Linked DNA regions of Drosophila melanogaster. The protein of the gene in region 1 purifies or fractionates together with the protein of each later gene. This does not show direct contact. Each region holds a gene or a part of one and is shown on either strand. Other genes may lie near its edges.

Region 1 (4,897 bases):
TCTCCTCCCAGGTTAGATGGTCCAGGCGACGCTTCTTGGCCTTGGGCTGGGATGCAGCCATGTTATCGTCATCCATGTTCGACGAGGATGCGTATCCCGAACTCGAGGGCGTGGGCGAGGCGGAGGGCGTGGCCGACACCTTCAGCAGAGCTGCCGTAAGGGGGGCGGGCCGCAATTTGGGCAGATTATTCGATGTGATTGCTGTCCGCGGCACGGTAATTAGCACTGTGTTTGCTGTGGGTGCCATGTTTAACTGGTTCGGGGCTAAATGATAAACTGCTGTGTGCTGTGTGCAATTGTGAAAAGCGACTTTCCACTTAGATTTGCATTGTAAGAGCGTATTTTAACTTTTGCTTGTTTTAGGTCGTCTCATGAACTTCGACTGCGCTTCTCGGACGCTCTGCTGGTTTGAATCTCTTCATCGCCGCCGACTCGGGCTTTTCTGGCTCCGTCTCACGCAATTTTCTCATCCACCTTTGCAATATCGACCGACCAGTTTTCCTTTCTGCTGACGTGTTCTTTTCCGAATGGCTGTGAAAAGCTGACGTGTTTTTCTAGAAGAGTTGGGGTAATGAGGGATGGAGCAGCACGTATCGGGCTATCGATTACAAATTCAGTTAATTTAGAGCAACGATGATTTGTAAAAGCGCTTAAATGTATTGTAAATTTTTTTTTATTGGATTTAATAAATATATTGTAACATTTCAGGCAATATCTTAAAACAAAAAATAGTTCCTTAAATTTTTCACACAATTCATTTTAATATCCAAACATAGAACAACGACTATGCCATCTCGAATTGCGCATGGCAGTGTGACCGTCTATATCTCAATGTGGAACAGTAAAAACGAGAAAGGAAATTATTTGTTATAAAATGTATAAATTTATTTTCCGCGTTATTTGCAATTGCTTGATTAAAGGGGCATCTAAAACAGTGGTTGTTGTGGTTTCTTGCCCTTTTCTTTTTCGGCTTGTGCTAGTTCCTCCTTGATAACCTCGGCAATTTCATAGATATCAGGCTTGTGCTGGAAATTTTAGATGAATCCAATCAAAAGTAGTTGGGAAATGCGATCTTACCCTGAGTTGATTTATGTAGAAGGTGTAGGGAATGTGTCCAGTAATGGGATCAATTGCCACAGGCCACATAGCATCCAATTCTTCAGCGGAGAAAGGTTCTCCTTCCTCCGCCATTAATTTGCCGAAGTACTCCTTGGTCAGATATTTTTTATTTTCTGGATCCAGGGTCTCAAAGGCCTCGAGAAGCTTTTCCGACGAGGCTGGTTCCATTCTGTGGACAAATATCGTTAGTTGCTAAACAAACCTAAAGTATATTGAATAACTGTCGATCCATCAGCAGTTTGGAAACGTGTTCCATGAACTTCACCAAATGGGCTTCGCCTGGATAGTCGACGGAATCGGTGGCTTTAATGACATCTTCGACCTCTTTTTCGGTGGGCGCGCAACCTAAAAATCGGAGCACGTTGCCGACATTGCGGGAATCAATATACTTATCGCCATGAGTATCAAATATGCAAAATGCTTCCGAAATCTTTTCCTCGAGTTCGTTGTTTAGGGTAACTACAAAAGGTTAGTGATATCAAGCGGAGGTGCGATGCTCATTTTATGTAATGCCTACCACCAACTTCCATCGCGGGTATATACTTTAGAATTTAATAAATAAACTGATAATTTTAAAATACGATTTATTTTTTCCTGATTTATATGTTTTCTGATTGAAGCATTATTAAAGGTTTGCTGTTTATATTTCGAATTTGAAAATAACGATCGGAAATCGATAATGGCGCCAAGCAAAGGGTATCGCCCCTGTGGTCATACTAGGTGTGGTGAATATCGACCGATAAGCATCAGTCGATAACTGCCTGCGAAGCAGTCGTGTTGAGCGTCGCGTTATTTTGTTTTCTGTTTTGTTTTTCGTTTCGTGTTTTTAATTTGTTTCCCATTAATTTGCAATTAAAGTTGAGACAATCGTTTAGCTAAAGATTTCATGTTACCCAAACAGTGAAGTTCGAGACTTTCCAGTGCCTTTTAAAGGACGAAATAGACTGCATTTGCTTGTTGTCGCTGAGCATTTGCATCTGTGTGCGTCGTTTGGCAGCAACAGGTTTTCCAACTCAACTCAACGCGCCACCTCAGTTTTCATTTGTTTTCGATATTCCGTGGAGTGCGGTTCGCGTTGCGGGAAAATCGAATTGCAATTGAATGCAGCGTTAAATGGAAAACGAGCAACTCGTTTCACATATCGTCGCAGGTGTGTAACGTCGTTCGGCGATTCCAACGGGTTTTCCAGGAGGTTTTTGGCCCACAACAAGTTCAAAAACTTGGCCATAATACCACAGTTAACAAGTGCCACTGCAACTCTCAGTTGTGTTGACAAGTGTATGTGCATGTGTGTTCAGAAATACGCGTTTTCAGAAAAAAAAAGAGAAACAACGAAAATCACCATAAAAATGGAAAGTGTTCGACACTTGGATGCTCAAAACTGATCATCGATCCCTCGCTTAACACTCGTTTTCGAGCCAAATAAATAAGCAAAACAACTCAAAACGGCAGCAGAAATAAACAAGGTGCGAATTTTGAAAGTGACTGAAAATGTTATTTATCTCCCCCATTGACATTTTTCCAATTTCTGCCCATGGCATTGACCACTTTGCTTCATTACCCGATAGAAAGTTTATCTCTGATCGATGGCAATTAGCGAGGCGTGCGTGAAAAGATAAATATTTGCAAATGTATCTGGCACTCGACTGTTGAAAGCTAGTTTCCATGATTGCTGATCAATTTGCATGAAAAAAAGATGATTTTGTTTACTTCGAGCATAACTTGCTAGTTTCTGAAGAACTGTTCATGCTTTTATCAATGCTTACTAGTACTAACAGTTAAGACTTTCTTTTGCTAATAATAGGTTATATCCTCATGCAATCAAATCCCAACTTAAATGTGCAAAAATAAGAAGATAACGTGCTGGCCTAACCACATTTGGATATGATTGCAACTCACTTCACAGTAAACCTCAGGCGCCCATAAACGCCGATGATGAATTTTCCCCGTGCAGTGAAATTGTGGCCTTAACTATTCGCTTTTCACTTGCTTTTCCATAGCCGCTCCCCTTGTTGATTGCCATTTGTTACTAGGCATTTTTTTTCTGGTCGTGCGCCGCCTGTTTGTCGAAAGTGGCCCGATCTTTTTTTTTCCTTTTCCTTTCCTTTCCTTCCTTGCCTTCAACCAACTTTGCTTGCCGCTCCTTTTGCGGCTTTTCTCTAATGGGAAATGCTCAAACGACAGGTGGCTGGGCACATACATTTGCGGTCTGCGAAGGATCTCGGTGTGGCAAGTGGAGCAACCACCATCGCTACCACCATCGCGGATCGTTCCTGTTACGTGTCCCTACACTCAAAGAAACGAGCAGTGGAATTGGTACTTTTAGAGCAATATCCCTATAATTATGGGACACAGAAAACAGACAATATCCAAATCCTTATCAAATCGTAATCCACAAAAGGGACTCTATACGTTTTCTTTTGTGTACTTGTGGGGGTTGCCTTTCGGTTTTCAGTTTTCGTTTTTCGGTTTTCAGTTCTTAGTTCAGTTTTCGGTTTTCTGGCGATCTGCTGGCATACTCTGAAAAACTTGTTTCTCTCCGCCGTTGTTTTGTTTGTCGTTTCTGGAATTCTTGGCTTGGCGGTGCCCGCAGCTCGCTGTGTGCCTCACGGAGTACTCCCCCTGCCCTGTGGCCACCTCCATGCCGCTTCCATCCACACAACGATCGTCGTTGTGCCTTTTTTCTCATTGGAGTAAATTTTTCGCTTGAGGAACTTTATGTTGCTGCCGTGTTTGATGCCCCTTTTTTCGCACAGTTAATTTTCTTATTCCTTACCCCGCGCTCATAATTGTGTGTGTGTCGTGAGTCAACGTTTTCATATTTGCAGCGGGGAAACTAGCTCTTTTATTTTGAAATACATATAAATGCATATTCAAAAGTAGCGAGAGTTGCAAACTTGCCTCAATCTGCTCTGAAAATATAATTTGTTTTAAAACTAGCTGGCTCAAATGTTTAACTGCACCAAATTAAACAAAGAAAGTTTGTTTTTTTTTTTATATATGGATCCAAGTAAACCGAGCTGGTTTTCTTAAGCGCACTTGAAGACTGCAAAAAATGGCTTTAAGTGGCGAAAATTTAAGATAAACCTCGCCATGAAATGCACACAAAAATAATTATAACTATGCGTCTGGCATGGGAAAGTCGAAGCAGCTCGCCGTTAAATTGCAATGTCAACAATGGAGGGGTTTTTTTTTCTGCGGCTATGGTTGCCATGGATACTGACTAGCCTAACTGAACAATCTACTGATTGGCCCCACTTGCAACTGCAGTCTGGACCAAGCCATCGAACAATGCGCTTGTCTGGCCGGGAGCTGTCTAACTGGATAGTTGGCTCTGGGACTTGGTTTGGAGGTTTGGAGGTGGAGAGCGAGCTGGTACCACCCAGCAATGTTGGATATTCAAAGTATGTGGCGATGATTTTCATGCCATGCAGTTTAAGTTGCGGGTATTAAGGAATTTCATAATAATAAAGTGTTGTAAATCTTCAAGCAAGAGTTCCCAATCTCTTGAGATTCCAGTTAATGGAACTCAGCTGTTTCTATTGGGTTGCTAAATATATTGCTTTAAAACACCAGTTTTAAATACATTTTAGCAAATATTAAAAGAGGTCGCACATATTTGCATCTTAAAATAAAAATGAGCATCATGCCAAATCGAACTGAAGCGTTCTTTATTGCTTTACGATTATTGTATGCATACACATGGTAATTGTTTATATTACTTTGCATACTGCTAATTAATGGTTTCTCTTTTGATTGTTCTGTTTTGCAGCTTCAC
Region 2 (6,421 bases), on another chromosome or scaffold:
ATCTAATATTTAAAGGCCAAGCATCTAACTAAACCCTGCGAAACAGGTTAGCTATACAATCAGACCATATGTTGCAGACCTTTATCTATGGGATTCTACGTGTAAACAAACAAAGCTAATCAGATGATATATGTGTGTTAAACATTCAATTTCCAGTGCTGAGACAGTGAAAGCTCTCATTGAAATGGCTAATTATGCAGTGCTATTATCTCGACCGCAGCTGTATGAGTCTTTTTTGAAAATAGAAAATGCTTAAATGCAGCACGCACGCACACATGCAGCGGCAAAAGGGGCAGCACGGGGGATTCCCCTTTTGAGAGGGGGTCTTCCGGAAACAAGCCAAACATATAGAACACATAGAACGGTGGTGGAAGGAGAAGCAGAAGCAGAAGAGGAGGCAGAGCCAAAAGCAGAAGCGACATGGAAACTAGGTCAACTCTCGACGCCATTGGAGCAGGCGAGTGTCCGACCGAGAGCGACGACAATGACGCCCGTCACACCCAGGCGCAACTAGCTCAAGGCCAAATCCGCACTGCAGCGGGGGGTTTGGGCGAGTCCTTCAACCTTTCGTTGGGCGAATGGTGGGGTGGGCTGCCGTTTTTAGACCGTCCTTGGAAGGGATTTGGATGGGATCTAACCGCATCGCATCTCACTTACCCGCTGCGAAATGCAATGGTGTGGATTTGCGTCCCGCCGTATCCCTGGCGTTCACGGTCTGAGGCGTTATTAGCTTCTTCACCTTGGCGATCTCGCCCGTTTTGCAGGCCTCGAAGAGCTCCCTCAGCGGATCGTTGGCCATGACCGCATCGAGATTAACGCTCAAAATGGCCCGACTTCGGCTGCTGTTGGCCATTGTTGTGCTTGTTTGCTACGCTTTGGCACACACACGCCCCGAAAAAAATAGGCAACAAAAAACAAGCGCAATATTCAGTGGGCTTTCGGGTTTTCCACTCCCAGTCCAGTTCTCTCCTCCAGCAGTTGCTCTGCCCGTCCTACACAAGCCTCGCCGTTGTCCGTCGCTGGCTTGCCCGCATCCTGTATCCAGGTGTCCTGCCTATGCCGCAGGAGCAACAATTTGCCACTGGCTGCCACGCGACCAGCCCTCGTTTTTGCTTAATATTTAATGCACAATTGCAGACCCAAAATCAATAGGATTTCTTTGGTTCGACACAGCACGGTTGCAAGGATCGCGGTTGGCTACGATTCGTTTTTACTGAGACTGCGACCAACTCTGGGACTAGCTCCCTGGTACTTGGCCTCCAAAGCTCTGGGCACGGACGATTATTTCCGGATTAATTCACTGCTCCGCGAAATATTGCATTGTTTTGTGACCGAGTAAGAGTGACCGTTCGCGGGGTGGTCGAATATTCCAGGTTGAGTCAAGCGGTGTGACCAGGCGACGGGGCAAGCCATTCTGAAAAAATACTGAAGTCCTCGAATCACATAAGCTTTTCCATTAATTATATTTTTTAAATTTAATAGCTTATGTTCTCACAAGGTTTTACACAAATTTGTGCTTCAGTGTGCACTCACTATTTGGTGAAAAGCGAAAAGACGTTTGCATCTATATTGTGTTATAAGAAACAATTTTTTTTGTTAACCAAATAGACAATATTCAATTGGTGGTACAAAAATTAAGATCATCATTTTTATGAGCTTAAATTAGAATTCTTAAATTAGAAAAGGCCATGTAGGAATTTCAATTATCCTAATATAAGCACATAAGCCTATTACTAGGGAAAAAATCTCAAAAAAATTTTTTAAAATAATAGCAAGTACCTGTTACAACAACATGCAATCCCAATTGGCATTGCTATCGATAGCTTGAAAAACACCTGTTTGGCCATCCCTGGTTGGCTGTTGGTGCAATCGATTTTTGGCATCGACTGGATGCCCATGCCAACAACAATGTTTGCTTTTAAAATTTAGATTAAATCCGTTAAAAATCCGTGAAATCAAAACAAAAGCAGTGGAGCTGCTTCACAACAAGATTATCGTGCTTACTAGAAAGTGAAGAACCACGGAGTTACCGCGCCGGAAGTACAAAAGTAATCACCAAATCGGAAATCCGAAAAGTGAATCAGAATTTTTCTAGCTCACACACACACGCGCGCATACCCGCACGCCCAGCAAACACTCATGCAAGCGTATGGAACCAGTCGTGTTGTTGTTGTTGCTGTGAATAAGTGCAAGTGAAGAAGAAGCAGAAACTGTGATCGGAAAATTAAGCAAAAAAGAAAAACAGGCGAGGAAAAGTGGGGTTGGGGAAAAGCAGACGGAAAAGTGGAAAGGCGGAGTGCAGCTAACACGCTTCGCTGGCTGCGCGACAGCAGAACGCCAGTCAAGCGCCAAAAACCATTAGTAGAACCCCATTTCCAGCTGGAGCGGCACAAGAAAGCAATTTTCTGGTAGCAGAAACACCAAGAAACGAAAATAATTGGCCGATCTTTAGAGACTCGACTCGACGACAATTAGCCGGAATGGAGCTGAAAGTTTGGGTCGAGGGCATCCAGCGGATAGTTTGCGGCGTTACAGTGAACACCACATGTCAGGTATGTGAGCTACAGCAGAGGTCAAAATAATAGCACTATTATCTTGTTAAAGCATTTTACACTGCTGCAGTGCTGTTAATGTGACCCGAACTGTATGCGCTCTGTTTGCTAGTCAGTTTGCCCTAATTATCGTTTTATTTTCCACAGGATGTGGTTTTTGCTTTGGCCCATGCCACTGGAAAAGTGGGCAGATTCACTTTAATCGAAAGGTGGCGCAATAACGAACGCCACCTGGCCCCCAATGAGAATCCAATGAAGCTGCTGCTCAAATGGGGCGAGTATGCAAATGATGTGCAGTTTATATTACAACGTTCGGAAAACAAAACACAGCAGCAGCAGCAGCAACAACAACAGCAGCAGCAGAACAATAATAATAATAACAACTATGCTGTGATGACAACAACAAAAAAGCCGCTGGGGCCGAACAACAATAACAATAATAAGCCAGCGCCCACTTTGCTAAAGCAAAAGTCGAACGTCGAACTCAGCTACCGCACAAAGGAATTGAAAAAAAGTTTCGGGTGGGTGGTTTTTATATGCTAGTTAGTTTGGAAACTACCCCTTAAAGCGCTTACCTAGCCCTAATTGTTAATAGGCTAACAAACTGTGTTTAAATATGCACCTGTGCGGCTACCATCAACTGACAAAACTTGTCTCTTTCAGGGGCCACGATGCCAAGCAGTTTGACAACATTGGAATCGTCAAGGGAATTCCGCAGCAGCAGCAATTGCAGTCACAACAAACGGCCATGGGAGCACCGGCGAGTCCACCACAGGAGCAGCTGACACCGCAGGATAACAATAATGTAGCACCACTGGTGCCAAAGCATGAGAAATCGCTGTCCAATCCGCTGGACATGACCAGCACGGGTAGCAATCCACCCGCACCTACAAATGGCTACAATGACTTCTACAACAATAACAGCAGCAGTAATCAGCATATATACAGCCAGCTGAGCAAATCCAGCAATGAACTCCGACGCTCCAGTCCCAACGAAATGTACTACAACAATAATAACAATATTGTTAATAACAATAACAACTCACCGGAGCTGTACAAGCAAACGCCGACGATTTCCGCGAATGGAGCTCTAGTCCCACCACCATATCGTGACCCGCCACCCCCGAGAAACAGCCCCATGTGCCAGGGGCAGCGTTTGGCCAGCAGCAATGCGGACACCATGTCCAATGCCTCCTCCTCGACGAATCCGTTTCTCAGCGACTACGATCAGCATAGCAGCCACAACACTAATAGCATCAACAATAATAGCCAGGCCATGGAGGAGGGTGAGCCCATGTTCCAGACCACGCAGTATAACGATTTGCTGCAGCTCATCAAGTTTCAGCGGGAGAAGATCACAGCCCAGCAAATGGAATTGCAAAAGGTACAAATATTCAAGTTTCTAAATTGATTTGGAATGTTATTATTTTATTTTTGTTTTATCTGCTTAGTTCGATACGGAAATAGTTTATTTGGAGAGCAAAGAACGCGACCACGCCCACGAGTTGGATGCTATTTCGCGTGAGATTTCCAAGGCGGATCAAATCTTTCGGCAAGGAAGCGAACAGCTCCAGACTCTGCAGTATGTGGAAGAGGAAAACGAATTGGTCAAGCAGCAAGAGAAGACTTTGAAATCAGAAATAGCTCTACTGCGATCCAAGCTGGCCAATTGCGAAACAGAGCTGCTACAATGCAAGAACAAAATGCGCTTGCTGATGGATGACATTGAGCTGGAGCAGCAACATCAACAGCAGACCAATAGGTGAGTGCATAGCAATTTACTTGCTTTGTTTTAAGTTTTTCACACTTCTTGGTTGTTTCAGGCAAACTGTGGAGCGAGACTTCTTGATGGAAATGGAGCGCATTCAGAGTGAAATCGACCAGGCTCTGCACAACACTGACACTTCAAACAAAACTGCAGATAGTTTAAAGAAGGAACTACTCATGATCGAGCATGCCATCGCGGACAAGAAGCGGCAGGTGGAGCAGCTGGTCAACGAGATGAAGGAGGTGAATTTGCAGAGCCTGACTGTGACCACCACGGAGGAGATCAAGCATCTATTGGAAGGACCCAACAAGCAGGGCAGCAGCCGGCGGATCATCGGTTCGCCCAGGCAACTTGAAACGGCGGTTCCAACCAGTAAAAATCCTCATGGTGTGTGGGTTTAAGTCACACATACCCAGAACTATTTTTCTAAACGTATTTCTCCTCCAACAAAATAATGTTTTTGGGAACAAATTGATCAACATATCTTGAATGCATAATGGAGTTGAAACGAAATGGATTCCTTATGAATATCACAATTTTAAACAATATTCTAAAAATATTTACAATAATTAACGTGCTTGATTGTTGTTTTAGTATGTTTACATTCCAATCACACTCTATGGATCTCTCAATGCAATGATATATGTTACAAATTTGAAATCACAATCGTTTTATTACTCTACATTCCGCACTGTACTTTGTATTTAATAGTAGTTAATGAGTCCCATATTCACATGCCCTAATCTTAATTTTGTGTGCTATACTTTTGGTTAATTTTTGCTGCTAGTCTACGTGTTAACAAAAACCCTTTCCAATCTCTACAATTCGCCATTAGTTGTTAACTTGACAATGAATTTTAATTGTTGCAATAATTCGAGAGTATCGTAATTTAAAAACGCCTTTCTAACGAATAAGTAGTGCCCTTAGTGATTTGTCTCCTACAGAATTATTCATTGTAGAATTCACAATTCGAATTACACAAAACTTATTGTACTTAGCAATTAGCGCAGCTTTAAAAAAACAAATTAGCAATGCTTTGTTGAAAAGTTTAACTTTTAAAGTGCTTAGCCTTAGCCACCGGATATCGAAACAAAAGACCGAAGCATTAACAATTGCAAAGGTATCAAGCATTAGTACATACATAATTGCTAGCGTACAATTAAAAGACAACCCACAAGTCGCTTTGATGTATTATGTTTTTAATTAGCAATATTTAATATTTACACAAACTGATGATGATAGTGAACTACAAAACACCAACGGAAATGCAATTTATCGAATATTATATATTACTATTACATTTAAACTAAAAACGATTTAGAACAAATTGTAATTGCATTACATCTAATTAGCTAATAAATACATTTTTATGATTTTCTCGAAACGAACTGTCTGTATTTACATTTGGTTTTGGTCTTTTGAAACACCACGAATTTTCCGCAAATGAAATCAACGGTCAGCCCGAAGTCCTGTGCCACACGAAGCTAGCTGCTCGGCCGCTTTTCTTGTGCGGAGGGAAAAACAAAATCAGCAACACATGCTGCCACCAGCTTCAGTTGGCCGCTGTGCTCGAACGCGTTTGGTCCTTTTGTCCTTGTCGATATCCTTCGCTCGCGACTCAGACTTCCTGGCGAAGCGCGCGCTACTTTCAATTTTCAAAAAGTGTCGCCCAGTGAACGGGTCAGTGAAAGTGGCCCGTAGGAAATAAAGAGGCAAAGGAGCATACATTTGAATGGTCCGTTTTTGGGGGCATCCTATCGCATTGACACAATCGACAAAGTGGTCGAGGGAGAGCGTTAAAGTGGCCCGCCAGCAAAAAGGACGAAGGAGCGCTCCGTTTTTATGGCCCTCTTCCACACCAAATGATGTTCAATTGCGATGATTGCGATAATGAGAGTCCCAGTTTCTCTGTTTTGGGGATCATGCATCGCCGAGACAATGTGACCTTTTGCGGAAATTATGATTTGTCTCCGGCTGACCTTGAGCCCCCCCGCTGGGCGATGTAACCCCCCCCCCCCCTTGCCGCCGACTCAATTAAGCTAAATTTAATCAGCCGGACAAGAAATGCTTCGGAAAAGGACCCTCTAATGCCGGTCACATA

The links.
Region 2: the proteins of Magi (region 1) and RASSF8 purify together in Drosophila melanogaster (affinity purification with western blotting; one study listed by BioGRID). This does not show direct contact.

What each region holds. Positions count from the first base shown.
Region 1 is NT_033778.4:21,139,227-21,144,123, reverse strand, and holds the start of Magi (magi), read left to right. Parts: upstream 1-1,862; 5' UTR 1,863-2,585; intron 2,586-4,328; exon of another isoform or gene 4,329-4,523; intron 4,524-4,891; 5' UTR 4,892-4,897. Other genes in the region: Xbp1 (X box binding protein-1), read right to left, coding at 1-247; CG9406 (uncharacterized protein), read right to left, coding at 927-1,025, 1,078-1,288, 1,341-1,578, 1,637-1,649.
Region 2 is NT_033777.3:25,659,935-25,666,355, forward strand, and holds RASSF8 (Ras association domain family member 8), read left to right. Parts: upstream 1-1,860; 5' UTR 1,861-2,480; coding exon 2,481-2,552; exon of another isoform or gene 2,553-2,699; coding exon 2,700-3,073; intron 3,074-3,215; coding exon 3,216-3,936; intron 3,937-4,003; coding exon 4,004-4,314; intron 4,315-4,375; coding exon 4,376-4,721; 3' UTR 4,722-5,706; downstream 5,707-6,421. Other genes in the region: Tnks (tankyrase), read right to left, coding at 658-853.